Ovis aries: one gene and its partners. The protein of the gene in region 7 interacts with the protein of the main gene of each other region in a pairwise test. Links are inferred from orthologs where the notes say so. Each region holds a gene or a part of one and is shown on either strand. Other genes may lie near its edges.

Region 1 (4,058 bases), on a different chromosome or scaffold from region 7:
AGCGAATAATAACAGTATTGACACAAACTCAGAAATGATCCTGACAGTTTCCTTTTTTTTGGAGTACTGTATTAGTCGCTCAGTGTGTCCAACTCTTTGCGATCCCATGGACAGTAGCCCACCAGACTACTGAGATTTCCCAGCCAAGAACACTGGAGTGGGTTGCCATTTTCTTCTCCAGGGGATCTTCCCAACCCAGGGATCAAACCCGGATCTTCCACATTGCAGGCGGAATCTTTACCATCTGAGCCACCAGGGAAGCTACATTATAACTCTGAAATAAGATCACAGGATTACTTCCATGAGCCAAATAAAAGGAAATACTAGTAAAAAAAAAACAGCTTCTTGAAAACTGATCACAAGGGAGAAAATTACCAGAGTTTTCTCTAAAGAGTGATGGTTACCTAGCAAGACAGGCTTTAAGAAGATGCTTGCTTCTGCTCCCTAAAAAGAGGGCCATTAAAAGAAGCCTGAGATGATTAGGAATCCAGTCAGCACAGCTGAGTTTTCCTCCCAGGGCACTGCCCAGGTTGGCTGTAGCCCAGGTCAATGGCACCTCAACCCCTGCTGGGCCACTCCCCGACAAGGTGCTACAGGGGAGGGTGTCAGGTGACACCCAAGGGTGTGCCCCTGGGTCCTGGGGAGGCCATGTCTAAGGCCTGCCCACCTTCCCAGTAAGAGAAGGGAAAGGGGCAGTGCCAGGTACTTCCCACCAATTCAGGAGGTATTTAAAGATCACAAGGGGAAAAAGTTCTTCAAAAGAGATACTGAAGGAAGGCCCCCAAAAGGTAAAGGTTTCGGTGAATAAGATGGGGGATCCTATCCAGACCGGTAGAAAGTACTTGTCAGGTCACAGGTGAGCTCTTCTAAGAATCCTAGTTAAGTCCAAGGCCAGTCTGACAGCCTCCCCAAAGGCAACAAGAAACCCTGAGGGACCCTGTCGGAACCAAAGGGTTGGTCACATATTCTGCTTGGAGCAGGCGTGGCCTCTGAAACTTAACCATATCCATGCTACCTGATGCAGAAATACTGAGGAATAAGACCGCACCGGAAGCAGATCACAGGCTGTTTCCAGGTTTTCTCTGTGAAACTTGATAAACAGCGCCATTCATGTTTTTAAATAAAACATTCCCCACAGCACTACATATTCCACTGAACACTCATTCATTCAAGTAAGCTAAGTAGATTTCATGTTGTGATATTTGTTGCTTTAACCAGAAAAAGAAAAAAAAAAGTCAAGATCACTGCACACCTACTGCGGCTGGGAACACCTCGGCCGTTTCATCTTAAAGGAGAGGGCAGTTTACTTTTGTTTGATGACAGACATGTGTGCAGCCAAGGACCGCAGTCCATGAAGAACGTATTTGGGCAACGTTTTATGTCTCATTCACATCGTAACTGTGATTACTACGTTCTCCATCCTCATCCACAGTAAAGTGGCAGGTCTCCTTTTCCAGGGCAGACGTTTCAAGAAAACATTCGTGGAACTGAATCCAACATTATTATATTTCACTACCGGAAGCCTGAGGTCTGTCCCCATATTCCCACCTGGCCCTGAGTTCCAAAAAGTGGGGCTGGGAACCCCGAATTCCACATGCCGACTAAACGTGAAGTTGGCCTGCAGACGACCGCACACGTTCCAAGTTCTGGGCCGGGACCTGCCCCGGGACAAATGTCAATAGATGTGACCCAGAAGGGAGGCACCAAGGTGTCCGCGAAGCGAACCGAACACCGCGACCCGGCCCGGACCCGAGGGCGGGCTCACGTCCTCCCGTGCCCACGGCCACGAGGGTCCGGCGGCGCGTCCCCGCGCGGAGCCCACCGGGGTCCCGGCCACGCCGCGGCCCGGGCCTCCCGCGCGCGCCCGCCGGCCCCGGGGTCCGAGCGCGCAGGCCCCGCGCCGCCGCCCCAGGCCTCGCCGAGCCCCGGCCTCTCCCTGCCGGGCTGCGGGCAACAAAGGCAGCGGCCAGGGCCCGGCGCGCGCGGCGAAGGGCCAGAGGCCGCGGGGTCGGGCCGGCGCGCGCGGCGGAAGCAGGCCTCGGGCCTCCCCAGCCCGGCGCCCCGGCCCGGCTTCCCGGACGCCGCTCCCCGCCGGCCCGAAGCCCGCCCGCGGACCCGCCGAGGCCCTGGCCGCTCCCCGGGCCGCCCGCGCCGGAGCAGCCCCGCGCCGCCCCGCGGAGCCGCGGCGCCCCCGGCGCCCGAGGGGAGCGGGCGGGCGGCCCAGCCCCGCGCCGCAGACGCTCACCCGGCGGCGGCCGCTCCGCGTCCTCGCCCCGCGCCGGCGCGACTGCCGCGCTCGGCCCTGCTCGCCCGCAACTCCGCCTCCCGCCGCCTTCCTCCTCCTCTTCCTCCCGCCTCGCCGCCTCCTCCAGGAGCGGCGCGCCGGCCGCCGGCCCGAGAGGAGCCGCCGCCGAGGAGCCGAGCGGGCCGCCCCGCGCCCACCTCTGGGCCCGCGGCGCAGGCAGGCGTCGGCGCGGGGGGCGGGCCGGCGGGGCGGGGCGGGGCCGGGGCCGGTGCGCGCCGGGGTCCGGGCGCCCGCACCCGCCCTCCGGGCGCCCCCGGCCCCTGCGCGCCCGCCCGCCCGCTCATCCGCCGCCTTTGCAGCCTCGCCTCCGCGGCGGCCGGGCGGACGTGGGAAGGACCGTGTCCTCGGCCCTCGGGCGCCGGCCCCGGCCTCGTCCCCTGCGGTCGAGGGTCCGCTTACCTGGCGCAGTGACCGGGACCACCCGGCCCCCGCGGACGGCGGGACAGAGTGGCCGAGCGCGCGCGCCCGAGCCGGGCCCTTCCCACACCTTTCTCTAGCTTAACCGTAAGATGTGCTGATTAAAAGAAAAACTTACTCCTTGTTTCAGCCCATCTGCTTTTCCCTTTAGTCCTTGTTAGTGGGGTTTTTTTATGCAGAAATAGTTTATTGTTTGTGCCGCCGAGTTCCAAGGGAGCGTGATGTTAAGTTGCGTGTTGGTAACTTGACTCACTTTTTGGGAACCAAACTCTGTGGATTCTTTGCTACCTGCATATAGAATTAACAGCAAATTGGACTTTTGTCAACGAGAAGCATTTTTTATTTTTTATTTCTCTTTTCATTCGAAGAAAAGTAGTTAAAGATAAGTATCATTAAAGTCTAACGAGAATTAGTGTTGGCTTTGAAAGTTGTATTTCTTGAATAGCATGGAGCTTTTACAAAGGAAACAAGGCTAGGGGGAGAAAGTCTTAAAGTTTTTCCGAAGTTATACCTCGGTAAAGCTGTTAGTTTTTTAAAAGTTCAAGTAATTGATCTTAATTCTTATGAATGTTGAATATGTAATTCTCATCTAAACACCAAATCTAGATTAATAATTTAAAAATTACATTGTCAGGCGATTCAGCTGGTTTGTATGACTGAATAGTATATATATATAAGGTTGATGTCATCTGTTACATGTGATTCACCAGACCGCTGTCGTCTTTAGCTCTCATTTCAATTTGTTGTTAAATTCCTGCAGGGTCTTCCCTGGTGGTCCACTGGTTAAGACTCCCTGCTTGCATTGCAAGGGGTGCAGATTTCATCCGTGATCTGCGAACTAATAGCCCCACATGCCCAGAGAGAGGCCAAAAAATAAGTAAAAATAAACTCCTATTATTATTGTTAATCTGACTTAAATGCAACTCAGTTCTCAGATGTCCAATCACAGTGAATGTTGACTGAAATAGACCAGTCAGGTTAGTGAAAATAGTACTTATTAATTAGAGATGAAACAGGACAGAGGATGAGATGGTTGGATGGCATCACCGACTCAATGGACATGAGTTTGAACAAACCCTGAGAAAGAGTGAAGGACAGGGAAGCCTGCTGCAGTCCACGAGGTCGAGAAGAGTCAGACACGACTGAGCCACTGAACAACAACAGAGATGAAACAAACTTTTCAACCCACCCCCCTTGTGGTAAGCCCGTTCAGAAAGAGAAGACGTGGGACAGACTGGAAATCGGACTGGTGTTTCCTTAGCTGGTCTGAAGAAGGCCAGCAGTTGGAGGCCAGAGAGCAGGGCTGATGAGCATGAAGGTGGCAGTGGGCTGGCTG
Region 2 (4,104 bases), on a different chromosome or scaffold from region 7:
TTCTGCTCAGGAGCCCCTTCCTGCTTTGAGTATCTGTGATCCAAGACTTACTTTCTAAAGTTACAAAGTCAGAGAATGGGAGAAAGAAAAAGTAGAGAAGGATAAACCAAAGCTAGAAATGAGTGAGAGCATACTCAGCTCCCAGTCAGGAAGGACTGGCCTCAAAAAGGGACCTTAGACACTTAACATAAAAATCAGAGGAATTCAGATTTTGACCTGGCTCAGAGCAGAAGAGAAACAATGATGGTAAATGCCCTACAGCCATACAGTAGGAGGGACACGCAGAGTCGAACATGACTGAGCACATATGTGAGTGAGGAGGGACTGGCATAGCAGAACACCAGAGACAGCGGTGCGATCTCCCAATTCCCTGAAACCATTACCATTAGTAATTTCCACGGAGCCCCTCAAGAAACTCTAGTCACAGTTTTTACCTACTAATACTCTGAACTGACACTTTCGAACTGTGGTGCTGGAGTAGACTCTGGAGTAGACAGCAACGAGATCAAACCAGTCAATCCTAAAGGAAATCAACCCAGAATATTCATTGGAAGGACTGATGCTGAAGCTCCAATACTTTGGCCACTTGATGCCAAGAGCTGACTCATTGGAAAAGACCCTGATGCTGGGAAAGATTGAGGGCAAGAGGAGAAGGCGGTCACAGAGGATGAGATGGTTGGATGGAATCACTGACTCAATGGATATGAGTTTGAGCAAGCTCAGGGAGATAGTGAAGGACAGGGAAGCCTGGTGTGCTACAGTTCATGGGGTCGCAAAGAGTCAGACACAACTTAGTGACTGAACAACAACAGTACTCTGAGCCCCGGTGACCATAATGCCTCTAGTAGTCAGGCAACTACTTATAAACTCCTGCAGCTTTCCAGCCATTGTTTCATCAGTCAGCAGTATCATCTATTTCCCCACGGACCCTGGGCCAAAACTGAGATCGCCGAACCCCGTCTTAGCTTCAGAAACTTGAATCTGTTCATGTCATCCTCTTAGGAATCAACAAAAACAGATTTCAGGCTCTGTTCTTTGAGAATTCCATCTTTAAAAGGCCTGTGTTCTTGTTTATTACTGACACTATACAGATAGTGGTAATCCCTGCCTGATGCTGGTCTCCTGAGATATAAATGGCTCATATGGCCTGATCATACTATAGTAGTATTTAGGAATCTTTGATAAGTCTAATACTAGGCCAGGCTGGGATGTCTCCCCTCTCCAGTGGAGAGGAGGAGGGAGGGGAGGTATCCAAGAATTAAAAGGGTAAAGTAACTGAGGTCATTCCTCCAACCTGTCCTGAAGCACCAGCTGATCAGGTACACTGAATCAGGTTTGAAGGATGTAGCTAGCCTCCACAATTTTTCCCTAGAGGGAGCAGATAGTCTCTAGGGCAAGAGGAGGGGGGTCACCTGGGTAAAGCTCTTTAAAGATTATCTGGGCAGCCACTGAAGGACTGACCAATAAAAATTTCTGCAGCCTTGGACCTTAATTTTTTCTTTTTGGTAAGCATAACATAAAGGTAAAACAGCTAATAAAAAGAAGCTTCTATGTAAATGAAATTAGATGCATGAACCGAGAGACTGAGTATGTTCAGTTTTATGCTCCCACCATGAGCACCGCAAGTAATCCCCAGACGCCCTTCGTTTTCCCCCCATTCATGTAACTGGTGACACGTCTTCCCATGAAACACTGCCTCACAGCCTCTGCACTGGTTTCATTCATTCACTCACTCATCAAATATTTACCGAGTCTACCATGTGCCAGACACTGTGCTGGGCACTGGAGATACAAACGAATCGTGTACGGTCCTTGCCTCCAGGGCAGCCCCCTGGTGTCCTCAGGGCCAGCCTGGCATCCCAAGGCAGCCCTGGGCAACAGGATCACGGTACCCTTTGCAGCAGGTAAGTGTGGTAGCAGGGGGCTGGCAAAATGCCAGGCCACAGGTTTTCCCAAGGTAAAACTGGATGTGAGAGAGCAATCCCAGCCCAGCTCAAACAGGCATCAAGGTGGGAACCAGGGGCCAAAGGGGCGGAGGGTGCAAACGACCCGGCGTGCAGAGGACTCCCGCCGCAGTCGCCGGGCTGGGTGCTGAGCGGCCACGCGCGCTCCTCCACGGCCGTCACAGGAGATGTGGGGACAACGATGACCCCTGGGCGCGAGTCAGCTGAGGGGGTGTCTCCAAGGGACAGTTTGAGGAGACGGTTAGGGTGGATCTGCGGTGATGCCCCAAATGATAGCTTGTCCTGGGTGACTGAGGATTCAGTGGATGGCGGAACTGAAAGGATAGGACTGAAGATGAGGTTGGTCCAGAGGGTCAAGCAAGACCGAAGGGTGGGGCTGACGGGACGAGGGGGAAGGGCTGAAGGGAAGGGAGTGCGCGCTAAGGACTGGATAGGTGAGCAAACTGAGGGCCTTTCTCCCAAGGGATCATTTGGAACGCGAGGACAGCGGATCTCCGGGACCTCGCCTGCCCCAAAGACGCGTCCTACCTGGTTTCTCGCCTCGGCGTGGTCCTACCGCGCAGGAAGCGGCAGCGTCTCGCGCCCTGCAGGGGCCGCGTTGCAGCCGGGACAAGCAGTCGTCCCCCTTCTCTCAGACAGCTTGGTAACGCCCGGTCCTCCCCTGCAGCTGTGGCGCCGATGGTCCGATCTGAAATGCCCTCATGCCGCCCCTTGGGATGGCCCGTCGTTCGGCCCGCTGTGCCAGTGGGGGTGCTCGGCCACCTCCTGGCACCCTCTGCATTGAGCGCGGCGAGTCACGCGCAGTGCTTTCCCGAGAGTGGAGCCGCGGCGCTTCTGCCGTGGCCCCGCCTTCTGCGGCCTGTGCCCCGCCCCGTCGGGGTGGTGCCGGCTAAGTGGCTGGGCTGTGCTGGAACCCAGAAAATCCTCGCGCGCGGCTTAACTGGCGTGTGGAAGGCAGGTGCATTTGCGCATCCGCCATCGCCTAACGGAGCGATTCTCTGCCTGACACCGCAGTAGAACCTCTTGGGAAAAACAGCAAAACAAAACTAAAGCCTGACCTCAGCAGAGACCAATTGACCCAGAAGCACGGGTAGGGTGGAGTAGGGGTTGGGTGGTGCCCAGCCTTGATATTTTTAAAAGCACTCCAGCATAGCCAGGATGAATAAGCCTGGTAAAGTCTAGAACGGAACAAAGACTGTCTCCTTTGGCCAAAAATTTAATCAGGTTCTTCTGAGTCGGCCCTGGACCAGGCTTGACTTTGGGCTTCCCTCTTTGTCCTTGTAGAATGCAGTTTAAGCAAGAATCCTATTAAATCAGTTTATTGGAAATTCTCTGCTCTTGATATCTGACCGTCCTTGGTATTTATCACCTTGGCCTGCTTTCAGCAAGAATTCTGTTGAGTTGATCTACCAAGAATCCCCCTTTCCTCTGATGTTTCTTCTTAGTAGTTGCTATGCTCATGTCCCTCCAAAATTCTTATGTTGAAATCCTAACCCCCAGACATTAGTAGGGGGGGCCTTTGAGAGGTGATTAGGTCATGAGGATCTTGCATGATTAGGATTAGTAGCGTCACAGAAGATATCTCATGGAGCTCCCTAGCCCAGTCCTTCAGATGGGGAAGTAGCTGACCAGAGAGCACCTAGTGGCCAGGCTGGCACCTTGGTCTGACTTATAGGCTCTAGAACTCTGAGAAATTTGTTTATAAGCTACCCAGTCTGTAGTGTGATGTGTTTTTTAGCCATGGCACGCAGCATGCAGGACCTTCGGTCCCAACCAAGGACCAAACCCCGGCCCCGTGCCTTTGGAGCACAAAGGCTAACCACTGGACCACCAGTGGAGTCCCTGTGGTGTTTTATTATAGCAGCCAGAATAGATGAAGGCTGTAATTTTCCAGCCACTGACCTCTACCCTGCTGCTTGGCTAATAAATTATCACTTGTCTTTGTTGGGATCTGAGTTGAGCTCAATCTCTTCCCCACTGCAGCACCTCATTGCGGTGGTTCCTATAGCAAGTCCATGATCCCCGGCCCACTCCCTACCCTCCCCCCTGCCCTGCCCCTGCAAATAAAGTTTGCCTTACCATCTTTAACAAGTGTAATGAATATTTTTTTCTTTATCAGAACTCATGTGCTTCCTGCTCC
Region 3 (3,500 bases), on a different chromosome or scaffold from region 7:
ACACACCACACCGGGAGCCCGGCAGAGCTTCAGACAGCAGCTCCAGCACCCTGGCCCCTCGGCCCCCGCTGCTGTGGGCAGCACCTGGTCCCCAGCCCTGTATCTGCTTCCCTCACCCCAGAAATAGCCAGGGTCACACCAAGCAGAAAGTTTATTGAGGTGCTGGACTGCGGGGAGTGTTTGCAGCGGCAAAGCAGATGCTGGTGTGGTTGGGGCCCAGGCCAGGGCCCCCTCCTCCTAGCAGCGTCTGGGACTCAGGGTGAGCATCAGGGACGACTCCTAGTCCCCACCAAGGCCCTCCTGGGGAACCCCTCCCTGTGTCCCCCGAGAGCCAAGTGGGGCAGTATGGGGGGCCCTCTCTTTGTCCCCATGATGAGGACAGGACGATCCCTTGATATTCACTATAAAAATTAAAACTCCTTTATAAATCACGGGGGACGAGCAAGAGGGGTCACCTGGGAGCTTCCTCCCCACGCACCTCCCAGTTCCGACCCCACAGTGAAGAGCAGAGGGTGAGAGTTCGCAGCACAGAGGAGCAGAGACAGACGGGGTTTGGGGGGGCTGCGGGCAGCCCCAGGTGGCAGGGGGACGCGTGGGGGGCAGAGGCGCAGGGCCCCCCCGGGCGAGGATGCGCAATCCCGCACAGCCCGCGGCCCCCCAGGTGTCAGGCCCCACGGGCCCCCAGTCCAGTCCTTGCCGAAGCTGAGGCAGCCTCCTGAGGTGGCCCCAGCCCTGGCTGCTCCCGGGGCAGGAGAGCGGGGCAGCTACTCCAGGTAGATGTCCTCTGTGGGGCAGGCATACTCCAGGTGCTGCTGGTAGTACTCCAGGAAGGCGCGGCTTCAGGGGGAGAGCATCCTCAGGCCCGGGGCCCCACGGCCCCACCCAGGCCCGCCACACTGCCCCAGCTTCAGCCCTCAGCCTCCTGACCCGGACCTGGCTCCTCATTGTCTGGGTCCAGTGTGGCCTTCCCTACCCCCACCCCCCCCACCCCGTGGAATGCCGCTCCCACACTGAGGACCACCCGCCGAGGACCACCCGCCCAGGCCCCTTGACACCCTCCGCTGCCATCTGACCCCCCCCGCCCCCACGCCTCCCAAACCTCATCCCCACCCTCCCCGCAGCTGCGTGCGCCAGGGCACCAGGCCAGCACCCCGTCCCGGTCCTGGCCATCATGTGCACTGGCCCACCCTCCAGACCCACTCACCCCACACTCTGGGCCACGGGCCTCATCGACTCCTGGGAGACAAAGACGTGGCAGGCAAAGCGGCTCAGCAGCGGGTGTTTGGTGATGAAGCCAAAATAGCTGTGGGGGGTGGGGCAGCAAGCGCACAGGGGTGTCAGGGCATGGAGCACCGGCCCCCGGGTCAGAGCACAGGGTGCAGGGCGGGCAGGGCTGGGGAGTGTGCAGGTCACATGATCTCTGTCCAGGAGCACAGTGCTGGGCACCATGAGGAGTTAGCGATCTTTGTTAATGTGTCTACAAGGGTGTCCAGCTGCATCTTCTTCCTCCCGAGCCAGCGCCCGGAGCCTGCCCCCAGGCCGCACGGCGAGGTGGTCTCTCCCCAGTCTGCTGGGCGTCCCGGGTGACCCCGCCCCGTCCTTCCCCTGAGGCCTGGAGCCTGCCCAGCTCCACCTCTGGTCCTGCACACCCACAGTACTTTTCAGGCTCCGCTGTGGGCTTGACGTGGGCCCTGATGTGCACAAGAGTCCTCCTGGAGGAGAAGCTTGTACCCCAGCTCCGGGGGCCCAGCTCTGTTCCCTGTGTGGCTTTCCTGAACCTGCCCTTCTTCTCAGCAAGACATCAACAAAAACTACTGTCCAGAGGGAGGGCCTGTCAGCGGCCAGCCTCAGGAGGCTCGGGACCCTCACCCAGCTGTGGCCCGTCCCGTCCATGCTGGGGGGTCAGGGCTTTGTGGCTCCTCCAGACGGGAGCCCACAGGACAGCGTCATCGCCAGCACAGCATGCGTGTGTGGGCCTTGTCTCGAGCGCCACGCTCAGATGACTGGATTCGGAGCAAGGGCCAGGCACCGGCCTAAGCAAGCTCTTTTCATTAATAACCGGCAGAAACCTCACAACAGTGCGGTGAGGCTGGTCTCAAGGGGACGGCACCAAGGCCCAGAAAGGGTCAAACACACACCGCGGACAGACAGCAAGCCTGCAGCACCCTGGGCACGCTCTCTACCGCCTGTGATCACAGCCACCACTCACTCCTCCCTTGTCCAGACCCCAGGCACCCAGCAGAGGCCAACCTCACCCCTGAGCTACCAGGCACCGTCTCCCTGTGCCTCCTCCCTGAGGGGCCTGGGCTGGGCTCTGGAGCAGCGAATATCAGGAAGCTCGGGGCCGGGACAGCAGCTCCTCGGTCCCTTCCTGGCCGGCGAACCTCGGAGCTGCACACGGTCAGGGTCTGGCCTGGGGGCCCGAGCCTGTGGCGCCCCGTCTCCCTCTGCCATCCTTCTCTCTCAAGGCCACCGTCCACATGGCTGCCGTGCACGCCGGTCCTCACGGCACAGTCCACCCCATGGCCTGGTCTGAGCCCCGGTCCCCTACCCAGATCTCCAGCCCGTCAAATCAGCTTCCTCTCAATGGAGAAGCAGCCAGACGGGGCTCTGCCCTGCTAAGGGTGGAAACCACTGCCCAGTCAGCAGACAGTGCGCCCCCAGTCTCACCACAAGCGTGCAAACGGCACACACCCGACCTCAACCCCGGGAACAGAGTGTGCTTCTCACGGTCTGCCTCCCTTGAGGACCTGCGGCCTCAAATACCAGCAGCACCTCCGGGCCCCGGCAGGGCTCCGTGTGCCTCGAGGCTCAGCCCCCATCACCTCCTCTGGGGCACACAGCACTGTGCCGCACGGCTCGCCTCACCGGCACGGCGCAGAGTCCAGCTGGGCAGGACGGCCGGCCTCCACCCGCCGGGTACGCCGCTGCTCTCACTCCCACCTCCTCTCTCTCGGCCTGGCCATCTTGTCTGCCTCATGGCCGAAGTTATCCGCCTGCTCCAAAACATACCTGCCCCGAGGTCTCTCTTCCATCCTCCAGACCCCAGTAACAACGGACACCACAACCCCACCACGTCTGCAACTGAAGACTGCACAGCCGGCCTGCCAGGCCCGTTGCTGTGTGGGCCACCAACCGCTCAACAGCCAGGTCACCTGATTCTCCCTGCAGACTGGTCTCTACATCCAGTCAGCTCAGGCCTGCCTGTCCCACCTCCCAAAACCCGCCCGGACACGCCACTTGGAGGGCCCCGCACCTCCTGGCTCTGGCCAGCAGCACTTGGGTCCTTCCGCTTGCACAGTAGGCAGAGCCAGCTGGTCAGCCTGACGGCATCACCCACCACCCCACTGCCGATGGGGTTAACTACAAGCTCCTCGGCAGGGTCAGAAGGGCACAGGTCCTCCGCGTCCCTCCTGCCTCATCTGGCTCCCCTAAAGACCCCCTAGTGCCTCTCACCCCTGGCCCTGGCTCAGCTGGCTCCATGCCAAGAAGACCCACCC
Region 4 (3,973 bases), on a different chromosome or scaffold from region 7:
CCCACACGCTGCACGGCCAAAAAAAAAAAGCTACTCCCCCAACAAAAAAAAGAGATCAGTCCTTAAATTCTGAGGAAGCCAGTAAGTCGTCACTTTTTACTGAGCAAAATGAACCCCAAAAAATAACTATTAGCCAAAGCGCAGAAGCTCTGGCTTCAGGAGCTCGGTTCTGAGGCCTGAAAGAGCCTAACCACTTCATCCATCCTGCCTGGGGCGTGGAAGCACACGGCCCTGATTTTTGCCTTTGGCCAAAGCTGGCCCGGCCTTGTCTTCTACACTAGCTGAGTAATAAGCGCATCACACAGATCCGCGGGTTTCTGGCTCCGGGAGAGGCGATCCAGGTTCAGTGTGACCAAGTGAATCCTGCCAGGATCTCATTCAACTGGGGCAGCGGCAGCCCTCGGAGACACCAGGGGAAGGAAAACTCGACGGCAGCGGGACGCCCGGGGCAGCGGGCGGAGAAACAGCAAAGCTCAACTGGAGGCGGGGGCAGCGCCAGGGAAAGGCCCCAAGGGCAGGGAGGCGCGCCCGGTGAGGGGCGGGTGGGGCCCGAGCAAAGGTCCTCCGGCGCGAGTGGGCGTGTAGCGCGGGCTCCCTGGAGGCGGCGGGAGAGGGTGAGGACGGGCATCTGGGAAGCAGCACGAAGGGAAAGCTGGGGGTGGCGGCTGCGGGCACTGGGAAGCCAGGGCCGCGCCCCTTTCTCTCCACCCAGAGGGGCTCGAGTCCCTCCCTCACGGCTGCACTGAGGCGCGCGGCGAGGCCCAGTCAGTGCCCGAGAGAGCGCTCAGTCACCTTCACAAGCCAGAAGAGCCAGTTACGCGAACGCAGCTGAAGCCTCACCACTGCGGGAGCCGAGAGCCCCCAGCCTCTCACGCTGGAATCACACTGTGCTGAGCGCTGCCTCTAGCTCCCAGGCTCTTCGGGGACCTGGAGGCCTCGCCAGTCAGACTCGCCGCGGCTAGGCCTTTGTTACGCAGTATCTGATTTATAATCCCTGTCTCCCAGCTTTTAAAGTCCATTTAGCTCAGCAGTTAACCTCCTGGTCATTACACCGCGAGGGCTTCATTCTTCTCTACCTCTAGTCCACAGAAGCATCCAGTGCGTCCCCCTTTAATACGACAGCTTCTCATGTTCAGAGCTGAGACTACTATCTTGTCAGCAGATCTATCAAGTCAGAACCATCTCACCCTGAAAAAAACCTGTATTAGCACCCTGTCCTTTCTAAGCAGACGCTTGAAAAGATCAATACCTTTTATTTTTAAAACCCTACGCCATCTCTTTAGCTCAAGTTTTGCATAATCTGCACAAAAGAAGCCTCGAGCAAAATATTAAGGCCAATAATGAAGCCCAAATGAAAAGGGATGCCCAATGCTCAGTGTCACTCTGGGTTATTTTAAAATAGATACTAAGTCATGCAACTCAGTACAAAAAGGACATCTGAAATTCAACTAGCGTAGAATCTTCAGTGGAGTGTCATTCAAAATTTCCTCTTAGTAACAGTCTAGACTCATTCCACCTTGGAATTTAACCAAATGGATTTCCAGTCCATTAAAGGCCCAGCTTGGGGGAAATCTATTAAAAAAAAAAAATTCCTCGTTCAAGCCGACCTCTTCTACAGTATTTTCAGTTAATGTGTTATAAAACAGACGCCTGGCTTATTTCAACCCTGGCACCAGGCTATCAATATATGGCCCTGATATTTCACAGGTAAAGGCATTTCGTTTCTACCTGCGAAGGCATTTCCATCTCTAGAGTTTCCAAAGGCTGCCGTCCGGGAGGTCCAACCCCGGAGCTCAGAGACCCTGAAAGCGGTGCAAACTCGGGAGGGCGGGGGGCAGGGAGGGGCCCGCGGGGCGGGGAGCCGAAGACTAGCTTCAGAGTCTCAACCCGTGGCCCCAAACCGGCTGCAAGACCGGGAGCAACGCCCTGCTTCAGCAGGTAATTTGCACCGAGGACGCGACGAAGGGCAGAAAGCGCCCCTTTTCCAACTGGGCGCCCGCAGCGCGAGCTGCCGGGCCCGACGCACCGCCCTCACCCACGGCGCCCCCGGCCGGCGCCGCCGCGCCGAGCCCCGCGGCCCCGCGCACCTGGGCGCCGGCTCGATGAGCGTGGTGGTGTCCAGGTAGTGGATCTTGTAGAACTCCAGCAGCGCCGGCAGGTGCTCGAACTCCTGGTCCCCGATCTTGAAGCGGCGGTTGGGCAGCGAGTTGATGATGTAGTGGGACACCCGCGAGTTCTCGGACACGGACAGCACGTAGTCCCCCGGGCAGGTGGACGAGTCGCGGACGAGGAACACGCCGTGGCGCTGGCCCTGGAGCCGCGTCTGCGCCTCCTGGCGGGACACGGGCCCCATGTACCAGGCCGAGCGGTCCGAGGAGTCGAACCTGGCGGAGGACATGGCGGGCGGCGCGCGGGGGGCCGGGCGGGCCGCTCTCGCCGGCGCTGGGGGCGCCCCGCCCGCGGCGGCTGCGCGCCGGCCGGGCCTCGGGCTCACCGCGCGCCTACAGGCCCGCGCCCGCGCCTTCCTCGCGGCCGCGGGCCCGCAACATCCTCCGGGCCGCCGGCCTGCTCCGGGGCCGCCGCGCGGGCCCAGCCGGCTCCGGGCGCGGGCCCGGCCGAGCGCGGCGAGGGCGGCTCGCGGCGCCTCCGCTCAGCCCTGGCCCCGGCGCGCGGCCGGCCCCGCGTCCCCGCCGCTCCGCACCGAGCCCCGCGGCCGCGCCGAGCCGCACACCGCCCGGGAGCGCCGCGCCGCCGGGGCCGCCGAGCCCTGCCCCGCTCCCGAGAGCCACAGCAACAAAATGGCGGCCGCGGGCGCAGCGGCGGCCACCTCCCCCGCCCCCCCCCGCGCCCCGCGACTGCGCACGCGCGCGCGCCCGCTCCCGGCGGCCGCCGGCGCCGCCCCGTGACGTCACGCCGCGCGGCCAATCGCGAGGGCGGGCGTGCGCCGCCCGCGCGCGGCGCCGCGCTCCCTCCCGGGCCCGCCGGGGGGCGCTGCGGGGAGGCGGCGCTTCTGGAGCCCGCTCCGGGAACAAAGCGGGCGGCGCGGGCCAGGCCCGGCCCCCGGGCGCGGCCCCGGGCCGTGCGCAGCCGGGCCGGCCAGGTTAGGGGGTGGCGGGGCCGACCGCCGCGGGTGCTCAGGCGGTGGCTGGCGAAGCTCCCGCGTCCTCTCGGAGCCCTTGCCGCCTTGGCCCCCCCAGGACCCCCGCCGCAGAAGCCCCGGCCCCTGGCCGCACCCCCGTCCGCGCCGGACCGTCCGTTTCACGGGAGCGGGGTTTGGTGCGCCTTGTTCAGCCCTGGGCCTGGCGCTTCTTCGCCCCGCCCTACGCTGATCTCAGACCTGGGCGGAATGAATGACTGTCGGGGACCCCCCGCCCCCGCCCCCGCCGGCCGGTGGAGGCGCCTGTCCAGAGGGGCATCGGAGCCCGGCTCTAGACTCCTGGGGAGCCGATCTCGTTGCTGGGCTGAGCCTGTCCTGCACTGTAGGTAGGGCAGGCGTCCCCAGCTTCTGCGACCCAGTGCCTGATGACGGGAGGTGGAGCCGATGTAAGAATAACAGAAAGAAAGTGCAGCGTGAAAGGAATGCGCTTGAACCATCCCCCGCCCCGAGGAAAAACTGTCTTCCACGGAAGGGTCCCTGGCGCCCAGGATGCTGGGGACCACTGTCGCAGCGTGATGGCTGACGTTCCTTCCGGGTAAACTCAAGGGGAATCGTCACGGCCTAGGGCCTTTTGTGACTCAGCAAAGCAGGTTTTCAGCTTCCCTCCAAATACTTTCGCGTCGTGTTACTTTCGGGCACAATTTGAATAGCTCAGAATTTGAAGAGGAAGGCTTGAGTTCCAATCCTAACCTGACTTACCAGTTGACTGTATCATTCCTTGTCATATTTTTTTCATCTTCTAATATTAATTTTTCTTTCAGTTTTATAGAGAGATAGTTGACATACAGCACTGTACAAGTTTAAGGTGTACAGCTT
Region 5 (2,437 bases), on a different chromosome or scaffold from region 7:
TGTGGCTCCGCCATGGCGGGGGTTCTGCTGCTGTGCAGGATGGAGCCGGCCACGCGCTCCGGACGCCTGTCTGGCACGGCAGGGGCCCGCCCGGGCCGCCACTGCCGCACCGGTCCGAGCCCCTCCAGCCTCGGAGCGGCCCTGCGCCTCCCGGGCCGCCACCGCCGCACAGGTCCGAGCCCCTCCAGCCTCGGAGCGGCCCTGCGCCTCCCGGGCGCTCTCCTCGCCCGCGGCAGCTGCCCCTAGGTCTTCTCTTCTCTGTCTGTCTTCCTCCTCGCGATGTTCCTGGGCTTGATTTTCAGAGAGAGTTCCCACAGGGCCTCCTCGGCCAGGTGGTCACTGAAGTCGTTGAAGAAGTTGATGATGTCGTCGTTTCTCCGGATGTCATAGTGCCTGGGGGAGGAGGGGGCGGCCATGAGGGCCACACAGCCCTGGGACCCCCACCGCCCCAGCGAACGCACGGGGCAGGCGTGCCCCCGCTGGCCCCCAGAGCTCGGGGCTCCCCGGGGCGGCCACACTCACGCCTGCTGGAAGCACCGCATGCTGTCCAGGATGTTGAACTGCTGCCAGCGTTTGGAGAAGTTCACCTTCCCGTCGATGTAGTCTGGGTTCCCCAGGTGGACGAAGGTGAGGTCCTGCAGGATGAGCCCCCTGGGAGACAGACAAGCTGGTGAGCACCCTGGGGGCGGCTCAGAAGGCAGCAGGTCTATGGGCTGGCGCTCCACGAGCGTGCCTGGGTGCTTGTGCTGCTTCTGGCAGGAACTCCTGACTCCCAGGCTCTGCGGCTCCGGAAAGGTGGGCTCAGGCCTGCCTGCTACATAGGGAGCCCCGCAACCCCTGTGCTGGCCCAGCAGAGCCACAGTCCACCACGTGCAAGTAACAGGGATGGGAGAACAGAACCCCCAAACTCGGTGGTGGGGGGGTGTCAATCCCCTGGGTTATCGGGCACGGTCACGTGCTTTCACACAGAGGGCGTGAAGCCACCTGACGAGGGGCGGGGCAGTTCCCCCAGCGGGGAAGGCACAGCCTGCAGCTGCCCACAGAGCTGGGGTGGGACGGAGGCAAGGAGGGGGCTGTGAGCTATAAGAGCCGCGTTTCTGAGGGTGCAGGCCTGAGGGACGTGCCCCTGGATACTCGGCCTCAGGTCACTGCGGAGTCTCCTGTCTGTCTCCTGGAAGTCCCCGCTGTCTGCTACCATACTAAGGAATCTGACGTGCACAAGAAACCCACTTAGCTCTGATTTTTCCTGCTGTTTCCCAAGCACACGTGCCATGGATTCTTTTTGGTGAAAACGCCTACCCTCGTCCCAGCCCACAGGGGCACCTGTCCAGGGCTGCCTCAGCCAGGTACTCCCAGGGTCCCTGGGGAAACTGGAGGGACCTCGGGCTGCTGTGAGGTGCAGCCAGGCCCGGGGCAGCTGAGCAGAGCACGGTGCCACAGGCCTGTTCACACGAGCACCCACACACGCTCAGGGACGGGGTGGAGGAGCAGCGGGACGGGGCGGGTGGGCAGAGCGAGCCCTTGCCACTGGACCCTCGCTCATCTCCACCGTCTAACAAGGAGCACGTTTTAAGTTAGGTACAAGCACAGCGCCCAGGTTGGAAACCTTTCCCCGCGGGTTTGTCCGTGGGGCAGCGAGCGAAGGGACCCCGAGGGAGGCTGTACTCACAGGTATGGGATGCAGGGCGGCTCCACCTCCGAGAGGGCAGCCCGGTAGGCGCGGAAGGACGACGAGCTGTCGATCAGCGTGCAATACTCAGCCAAGCCCTGGCGGGAGAAGGCACCATCCATGAGCATGGCGACAACGCCGAGCGCTGACCCAGAGCCAGGCCCCCCCCGCAGGCAGGCCAGGCCTGCTATGGACACAGGGCTGCTGCTTGGCTGTGCTCAGCGCCGCAGGCCGGGATGTGCTGCCCCCCCCCCCCCCCCCCCTCGAGCCTGCCTTCCCACCTCTCTACACTCAAGGCAGAGCCCACCGGGGAGGGCGGTGACCTCGCTGCTCTGCACGCTGGGCGGGCTGTGCCCCCTCACCTGTCACGTGCCTCTCACCTTGACGTGTCACCTCTTCCAGGAAGCCTTCCCTGCCTTCTCAGGCCCTCTTATGTGTTTCTGGAGCAGCTGGGGGGAATGTCCCACTTCTCCAGACACCACTGTTTCATAACTGTCCCTTTATATTGTCGGGAGACGACTCCCAGGGAGCCTGGCCAACACCTAGCCCTGTGGGCCTTGCCTCCCTTCCCCAGGAATAGCTCTCACGCCAGGATGAGGGTGCCCCAGGACTCCTGTGATGTGGCCACACTGGCCTCTGTCCCCTCTGATGGGAATTCCCCTCCCTTCCCAGGACGCGCCTACTCTGGTCTCAGGGTGACCAGCACCTCCTCGGGGCCTCCCGGATCCCAGGGTGGGCTGGGCCACTCAGTCACGTTTGCTCAGCAGC
Region 6 (4,203 bases), on a different chromosome or scaffold from region 7:
TGTCTTGAGACCTGATTTGACTCAGAGAAGGCTCCTAATCTCCTTAGCCAAGAATGAAACTTCCCAGCTTCACTTTCCTATAAGAAAATACAACCCCAGTCTAATAGCTGGACAGCCTAGCAGTTTACAGCTGAAGTTCAAGAAGAGACAGAAAAGTAAAGAGGTCTAGATTAGCCAAGGCCTTTGCCCTCACTTATGGAAAGATTCTTTGGAGAGACAAGCATTTCATTATTCTACCTTTTATCCTAATTATATGGGGATGTGGATATGGCCATTCCTTTTTAAAGGAAGTATTTCTTATTTACAGTAGTTTCAGTTGTACAACATAACTCAAATTTTTAAATATATTTTGCTCTTCTTGAACTTATTACAAAATAATAGCTATATTTCCTTGCTGTACCACATATCCTTGTTACTTATCTATTTGAAAAGGTTCTTGATTCAGTGGATACTCGGATTAGAAAAATGATCTCCTAAGTTTTCCAACTCTGCCATTATGATTTTGCTAAAATGACAAAATGATGCTTGTTTTAACTGCTCTGCTACTGATTTTGAACTGATTTTGAGGCGTGGCACTGTTTTTTGGTACCTTGTTCTTCCTTTCCCTTCCTCTGGGATGTTGGCTGGCAACGATCTATTGTAATTCATGTATGTGCTCAGCATCTTTAGTGGGATGAAATTTATGCTCTCGATAAAGTTTCCAGAGTCTTCAGTTCAGGAGGGGTTAAGGTCTAGGGATCTTTTGGGGGTTGCTAGTGAGTAGGGCTGGCCCCGAGGGCGGATCCAGGTTTTGTGGGACCTGACACCTCCACACCGCCACAATTTGGAGAACACCATTAAGAAAACAATGCAAAAATATAGAAAGTTTTACCAAAACGGTATGAAATTTCTGTGAACACATAAGGCCTCGTGAAAGTGAAGGACTTTTAAGTTCAAGCTTGAATAACGCTGCCGTCTACCTTTTTTGGCCCTACTATGCGCCAAGGACTTTCCACTCCTCACCTTCTTCAGTCCCCACAACACTACGCTATGAAATAGTTACATATACAGGAGTCATGTAGAACACAAATACATTAAACATCGTGTCCAGCCTGAAAACCCCTTTCTTTCCAACTCCCTATATTGCTTCCCACGACTGGAGTTCTGAGGCTTGAGGAATGGCATCGAGTCAGGATTGTCGCGGGAAAGAGTGTGTAAAACGCAGTCAGGGAGCTAGGGAGTGTTTCTGAAACTGGCTCGCAGAGAGCGCCCTGGAGACGCGCACTCCCGAGGGAAGGCCCCCGCGCCCAGCCGGCGCCTGTGCCAGCTCTGCGGCGCGCATGCTCCGTGAGGGGCTGCTCCAGCTTCTCTGGTTAATGAGCGCGCGGCGGAGGGGGCGGGCCGAGCCGCGGCTGCTGGGACCTGAGCTTGGCGGCGGCCCTGGGGCGCTGTGCGCGGCTGCTGAAGGGGCGGCGGCGGCCGGCACTGTGCACGCAGGAGTGTGGCTTGCTCGCCCGACGCGCACGCCCGGTCGGTCCCCAGGGCCCTCTGGAGGTGACTCGGGCGGCCCGGGCAGAGCAGCGTTGCCGGTTGGGAGGGCGGAGATGAGGCGATGAGGACACGAGCTGCCGCCGCCTCTGTCCGCCTACTACGGCCGTAGTGGGAGTCGGGGCGGGGGCGAGGCCAGCTGTACCCCCGCCGGGCTGCGAACCCAGACAAAGGAGGAGCAGCAGCCTGAGAAGCGGGCCAGAGCCACCGGGAAAGGAGGCCGCCGCTTTAGTCGCAGCCGAGGGCCGCTCGGGCTCACGGGCCGCCGCGCTTCCCCTGAGGACGCTGCGCGAGGCGAGGTCTCGGGGCCGAGGAAGCCGCCCCCGGAGCCCCCGCCCGCCCGCCGGCGCCGCCTCCGAGCCGCCTCGGCCGTAGCCGCGGCCCGGGCGGGAGGCGGCGGCGGCCGGTGAGGCTAGGCGGCCCGCGCCCTGCCTGTCAGATCACCGGTCCGGCCCGTTTCGGCCCGCGGGCTGCCCCCGATGCGGAGGCGCTGCCGCCGGGGCCATGCAGCAGGCGCCGCAGCCTTACGAGTTCTACAGCGAAGAGAACAGTCCGAAATGGCGGGGACTGTTGGTCTCGGCCCTGCGGAAGGTCAGTGCTGGTGCCCGGGCGGCCTCGGGGCCCGAGGGAGGTGCCGGGGCCGAGGCAGGCGGGCGGGGCGCGAGCCACGGCCCGAGCCGCGGCCCCTTGGACGCTCTAACGGGGAGCTGCACGCCTTCCTCGCGCTCGGCGCCGGAGGGCCCAGCGCTTTCTCTCCGGCCGGCGACGAGGGGCTTGTGATTGCCTTTGCGTCCCAAAGGACGTTTTCTCAAGTTATTGCCTGGCCCCGGAAGGAAGGTTTTGTTATGATCATAAAACTGGATTTCATGTTGCAGTCGTTTCGTCAGGCGACTTCCGCCGTTGACCAATTTGTTGTCCTCGGGCTGGATTCGGGCAAGAGAAAGTCCCGCTGGTATTTAGACAGTTTCTAAAACAAAAGCACGTTTCTAGGCCGAGTAATCACTTTTAATTAAATTCTTTGGGGCTGTTCCCTTAGGCAGTTTGAAGGGTGAAGGGTGTCCACTCACTTAAGAGGTTGTAATTTTTTTTTTTTTGGTGATGGATGTGTTTCTCGATTGAGAAATGTCAGTGAGGCATGATATTGATTTTACAATTCTTGAGGTCAATTTAAAGTGCCTCCACCCTTCCTGCCATAGGCGTCCCCCTGTTTAGGAGAGATTTCCCCTGTAAAATTTGGTCATTTTCTTCACTGAGTGCAATTTATTACTTAGAATCATTTTAAGGGGATGAAAAACTCTCAGCTCATGAAAAATCAATCTTTTTAGTTTGGGTACATCGCTAGGGTGCATCTGTCCTGTAGATGATGTCAGTTTTCCTCTGAATTTAGTTAATAATGGTACTATTTTTTTAATATGTAATAATCATAGGTTTTTATAGTAAAGCCTTTTGTAAGGTCAAGACGTTTAAAGAGTGTAAATGGGGGCAGAAGAAGATAAACATACTGAGCATGGGCTTTCCTTGCCATTGATACAGATGTAGTTCCTATTACCTTTTGTGCAAAATAACCAAATATAAATTTTAAAATAATAAGGAATAAATGTTAATTTAAAATACTACTCCGGAAAATAAATCTTCATACATTAAATTTCTCTAAGTGAAAAGAAGTAGTAGTATTTTGAAGTAAAAAACATTCTCTCACGTATTCAAGTTTCAGATTTGCCGTTTTTTCACGATTCTTAGGACGAGGTATTGCCTTCCTTGGGCCAAACGTGTAATATTTTTTAAAGAATTTGGTGGAGATGGTTAAGAGCAGCTAGACAGTTATCATTTCGCAGGTATTTTAGGTGTTAAAGTATTACATTGACCTTCCTTCCGTGGGCAACCCGATTCTATAAGGAGAGGGAAGGAAATGGCAAGTGTGCTGCTGAGTGGTGACAATGAACACTGGCCTGAGTTAAAAGCAAAGAGGGAAATGCTCAGATAGTGATTGAACCTTCTACCACATAGACAGAAATGTGAATGCAATTATCAGGTAGGCCTATGTTGTTGGCAGCGTAGGTCTCTTACTAGTATTTTCTGGTAGCAAATAGAATTTGAGTATGTGTTGCATAACTTTTTCAATAGGTAGCTTTGACCCTAATAATCCTTCATGCACAGATACAGATGTATATCTTCAGGTTAGTCTGGAAATAAACCCAGGGTAGCATCCGATCCTAGTTCTTTGCTTTGAGTCTGTTATTTTGCATTTATATGTTGTGCTTGTTTTCTTGGTTCTCAGATGCCGTGTAGCTCTCTATTGCCTTATTGCACAGTTCTTGTTTGTCCTTTGCTTATGGAATATATACAGCTAAGGAAATCTGGCCTTTTGAGCTGAATTAAAAAAACAATTTTTATTTAACTTATTACATTACTGCTTTTCTAGAATTGAGGTATATTCCCATGGAACACTTTTTTTTTAAATGTTGTTGCAGATTTTTTGATGTTTGTAATTCCAGATTATCTCCAGTTTTGTGGTCGTGCAGCACGTAGGTTTATAGTGCTTGCTAGATTTGTAGTTCTTGAGGAGTTCAAGGTTCACTCTGCAGATGAGTTAAATTCTGGTCTATACTTGGCACACGTGACCTTGTACAGTGAGAATTCCTGCTACTTAGGCAGAGGCTCTGTCATCACATTCAA
Region 7 (3,500 bases):
AGTGAATAATGTGAGGAGGGACTATCATAAACTGAATAAAAAAGGGTTCAGTGAGCTCACATGGGTACTAAGAAAGCTATTTTAGAAACAGAATGTCCACTAGTAAATATAAAAGAAATGACAGAAATAGGAAGTCACTCTTACAACCACCAAGGAATGCAACTTCAGGCGAACCATCGGTTCTGCCATCGAGGTGGTTTAGTCACTCAGTCATGTCCAACTCTTTGCAACCCCATGGACTGTAACCCAGGCTCCCCTGTCCATGGAATTCTCCAGGCAAGAATCCTGGAGAGGGTTACCACTTTCTTCTCCAAGGAATCTTGCTGACCCAGTGATCGAATCCAGGTCTCATGCATTGCAGGCAGATTCTTTACCCCTGAGCCAGAGAAGCCACAGAGGTAATGAGATGAGAGCTGTGCACCTCTGGTGGGACACTCTCTACCTGCAGCACTCCATCTGTGTCGCGCCCCGCTGAAAATATGACCCGGCCAGACAGGGGCGGTCAGAGCAGCTGGCCTTGACTCTTCACAGCATCAGAGAAAAGAGGGCTGAGAAACGATCTTGAATTAATGAAGAGCCTGGACTCTTGATTGAAAAGCAGCTAAAAAGGATATACTGGGATAACAGGGGAGTTGAAATTAAACTGAAAACTAGAATCAATGTTAAACATGGGATAAGAGTGAAATTGTCTTTTGTTACTTGGGAGAATGTCCCGTTTGTACAAAAAGCCAATGCAGGGTGAAGTGTTATAATACCTGTAGTCATCACAGGACTCAGAAAACACACACAGAGACACAAACACGGAGTGAGAACAACGTGGTGATTACGGAAAACTGATGAGCTCGAGTTCAGGGCATATGGGTGTTCATTACACTATTTTGCAGTGTTTCTGGGTGTTTGAAAAATGTCAAGATAAAAGATAAAGTGCAGGATAAGAAGGGATACGTTGGCACTGGAGACACCCCAGGGATAGCGCACAGCAGAAAGGAAGGAACATGTTTCTGCGCTTGGAGACTCCCTCAGATCTGGTCTGAGGATGACGCTGAGGGTCTGGGGGCAGGGAGCCTAGCCGTGACTGGAAGCAGAGAGGGCCCTGTGCCCACGCCGGGCAGCTTCCCACCTTTGGCACAAGGCCCGTCGCACTTTTTGCACTTGCGGACACCATCTTCCTCTACCTCCTGGCTGTCAGAGCTGCAGGCGCGGACGCACGAGCCGTGATCTGTCACCACGTAGTTCCCTGGGGACAATGAGAAGGCAGTGAGAGGGGCACCAGGTGTTCTGGGCATAGTGACCCTGGATGGCGGCTGACCCTCTGGTTCTGTTTGCTTTAAGGACAAGAAGGAAAAGCTGCAAACAGGGAGGAATGGGGTTCAAGGTGTTCATGGCCTCCCCATCAGGCTGCTGCTCTCTGGTTACGATGCTGAAAGCTTCGTATTTATTTAAAAAAGTGACCCAAAACAAAGGCCACTCTTCTCTCGGCCACCCTCATTCCCTCGGGTCTCCGTGGGCGACGGGGTCCACACTCTGCCTCGGGCCTCACTCAGGGAGAAGTAACTTGTGTTAGTAATAAACTTTTCAGGAACTCTCTCTGTGTCTTTTGACTTCCCCAAGTGGATCCTCGAACCACTGGATGTTTCTCTGGGCGTTTACTGGATGTTTGTCACTTTCTTTCTGTAAACTGTCTGCTTATGTTCTCTGAGGCTCTGAGTGGTTTCCTGTAGCTTTCAAATTCTCTCAAAGATTATATCTGGGTCACAGTTGTGGCAAAGTTTTCTGTATCTTGCCATTTACCTAACAATGACTTTTTGTGGAGTATTTTTTGTTGTTGTTGTTGTTGTCATTCCAAACTTTTAAAATTTCATGTTCACAAGTCTGGTACTGTAAATCTCCCTGTCATAATTGTTCTTAAAAATATATATATATTTTTTAGTTAATCTTCCCTCTTGAAAATCACTTCCTCTCCTATGAAATCACTCATGTTGCCGTTTCCCTAAATACTAGAGTCTCCTGTAAAGCACAAAATAAGCAAAACCCAAGGCCCAACAATTAAACAAAGCCAATCGACAAGCAAAAAGCTCTCTTCTGTGCTCCTAGCGGCACAAACATGCCCAGGTTGTTAACCACTAAAGGAGGCCAGTCTTCTGACCTCTCTCTCATTTAGGCCTTATAAACACCTGCCGAGTACAAGAGCCAAACAGGGAAACGGCCCAACGGCCATAGGTCTGTGCCAATCAGACCATGGAATGTTCTGGGCAACCATGGCTGGGCTCAAGACACAAGAACCAACTTGGGGTCAGCCAAGGTGATAGGGTCAGCCTGATACTGAAATGATGCTGAAATGATACTGAAATCACCTGCCTGATACCGAAATGAATACAGGGACCCAAGGATCCCTGAGTGGGGGATATGGGAACCTCAGCAGGAGACAGAGAGAAAACAGGTACCTGGCAATGAAGGGGCTCACAAGGGACACTCACGGGGACACTTCTTGACACAGGTGGCGCCAAAGCTGTATTTCCCCAGCGGGTTGACCTTCATTTCGTAGGTGGTAGGGTCATAGAGCATGAGCGGCGGACATGTGTCCTTGCAGGTGGCTTCATCACGGAACCTGCGGCAGACCTGCCATGGGAGGGGTGGTGTGATTGTCAGACTCCATGGCGAGTGGGGCCACAGCCCTCTGTGTCCAGGTGTTTGGTCAGAGCAGACGACTAGAAAAGCACTCTCAACAGGGGCAGAAAGACTGTTTTCTTCAAAGCATGGTTTTTCTTAAATACACTGTTCTAGCTGTAATAGTTTTGAGGAGATTATGAGGAGCGAAAAACACATCTCTTAACTTTCAAAATAAGGCAGGAGTTCACACTCTAGAGTAGTAATTCTAGAGTGAAATTATTCAGCTTAACTTAAGTCTGATTTCCCTCCTAAACCACACTTGAGGATACATTTTTGAATTTATTACCAAACACAGAGAACTTTGACTGGGGGCTGTTGTGCAGAGAGAATCAGACCACACACAGAGGGGTCCTGACCAAGAGCCTGGTGTTGCCTCCCTCCAGCAGCCTGGCAGAATTGCCTCAGACCAGGGGGTCCAAAGCCCAGGGCCCCTCCAGCCTCTGGAACATTAGTTTCCCTGTTCCTAAAAACTATAGACTCTTCCGGGTCCCACTCAAGGTGAGTCTCCCAGTTTGGAACTCACTCAGTGCTGACTTTGGGACCCTGTCTGCCTGTCCTGGGGTCTCGGGACACACAAGGTACCCATAATCAGCCGTGTGGCACCAATGGCCCATAGTGACGCTAGAACTTGGTCAAGCTTTCCGCAGTCACAGGGACTACAGTGAGGCCTTCAGCACCCTCATGGGGTGGGGAATCAGCAGAAAGCTTCTGAGCCAAGCGGAAAGAGCAGAGGCTTTAGGGGGTCCAGCTGTCCTGCCCCTGAGGATCAGTGTGATCGCCTAACTTCACTTCAGGGGTGAATCGCCTAACTACCTTTTAGGGGTCGCTGC

Evidence for each region.
Region 1: the proteins of EGFR (region 7) and SOCS6 interact in a protein complementation assay, tested with the Homo sapiens proteins (3 studies listed by BioGRID and IntAct, with this or other methods). The link is inferred for Ovis aries from reciprocal best matches to the Homo sapiens genes EGFR and SOCS6.
Region 2: the proteins of EGFR (region 7) and RUSC2 interact in a protein complementation assay, tested with the Homo sapiens proteins (2 studies listed by BioGRID and IntAct). The link is inferred for Ovis aries from reciprocal best matches to the Homo sapiens genes EGFR and RUSC2.
Region 3: the proteins of EGFR (region 7) and MAPK8IP2 interact in binary tests that used the Homo sapiens proteins (3 or more experiments, as listed by UniProt). The link is inferred for Ovis aries from reciprocal best matches to the Homo sapiens genes EGFR and MAPK8IP2.
Region 4: the proteins of EGFR (region 7) and CRKL interact in binary tests that used the Homo sapiens proteins (3 or more experiments, as listed by UniProt). The link is inferred for Ovis aries from reciprocal best matches to the Homo sapiens genes EGFR and CRKL.
Region 5: the proteins of EGFR (region 7) and RAPGEF1 interact in a protein complementation assay, tested with the Homo sapiens proteins (3 studies listed by BioGRID and IntAct, with this or other methods). The link is inferred for Ovis aries from reciprocal best matches to the Homo sapiens genes EGFR and RAPGEF1.
Region 6: the proteins of EGFR (region 7) and SOS2 interact in a protein complementation assay, tested with the Homo sapiens proteins (3 studies listed by BioGRID and IntAct, with this or other methods). The link is inferred for Ovis aries from reciprocal best matches to the Homo sapiens genes EGFR and SOS2.

The regions. Positions count from the first base shown.
Region 1 is NC_056076.1:7,272,947-7,277,004, forward strand, and holds the start of SOCS6 (suppressor of cytokine signaling 6), read right to left. Parts: upstream 2,801-4,058; 5' UTR 2,705-2,800; intron 2,447-2,704; exon of another isoform or gene 2,246-2,446; intron 1-2,245. UniProt on the Homo sapiens protein: SOCS family proteins form part of a classical negative feedback system that regulates cytokine signal transduction.
Region 2 is NC_056055.1:52,991,245-52,995,348, forward strand, and holds the start of RUSC2 (AP-4 complex accessory subunit RUSC2), read right to left. Parts: upstream 2,801-4,104; 5' UTR 2,493-2,800; intron 2,279-2,492; exon of another isoform or gene 1,749-2,278; intron 1-1,748. UniProt on the Homo sapiens protein: Associates with the adapter-like complex 4 (AP-4) and may therefore play a role in vesicular trafficking of proteins at the trans-Golgi network.
Region 3 is NC_056056.1:225,855,917-225,859,416, reverse strand, and holds the end of MAPK8IP2 (C-Jun-amino-terminal kinase-interacting protein 2), read right to left. Parts: intron 1,304-3,500; coding exon 1,205-1,303; intron 838-1,204; coding exon 765-837; 3' UTR 134-764; downstream 1-133. UniProt on the Homo sapiens protein: The JNK-interacting protein (JIP) group of scaffold proteins selectively mediates JNK signaling by aggregating specific components of the MAPK cascade to form a functional JNK signaling module.
Region 4 is NC_056070.1:72,322,475-72,326,447, reverse strand, and holds the start of CRKL (crk-like protein), read right to left. Parts: upstream 2,801-3,973; 5' UTR 2,399-2,800; coding exon 2,088-2,398; intron 1-2,087. UniProt on the Homo sapiens protein: May mediate the transduction of intracellular signals.
Region 5 is NC_056056.1:5,218,886-5,221,322, reverse strand, and holds part of RAPGEF1 (rap guanine nucleotide exchange factor 1), read right to left. Parts: intron 1,768-2,437; coding exon 1,670-1,767; intron 652-1,669; coding exon 523-651; intron 394-522; coding exon 243-393; 3' UTR 1-242. UniProt on the Homo sapiens protein: Guanine nucleotide-releasing protein that binds to SH3 domain of CRK and GRB2/ASH. Transduces signals from CRK to activate RAS. Involved in cell branching and adhesion mediated by BCAR1-CRK-RAPGEF1 signaling and activation of RAP1.
Region 6 is NC_056060.1:41,394,667-41,398,869, reverse strand, and holds the start of SOS2 (son of sevenless homolog 2), read left to right. Parts: upstream 1-1,403; 5' UTR 1,404-2,031; coding exon 2,032-2,118; intron 2,119-4,203.
Region 7 is NC_056072.1:941,938-945,437, forward strand, and holds part of EGFR (epidermal growth factor receptor), read right to left. Parts: intron 2,620-3,500; coding exon 2,478-2,619; intron 1,238-2,477; coding exon 1,121-1,237; intron 1-1,120. UniProt on the Homo sapiens protein: Receptor tyrosine kinase binding ligands of the EGF family and activating several signaling cascades to convert extracellular cues into appropriate cellular responses.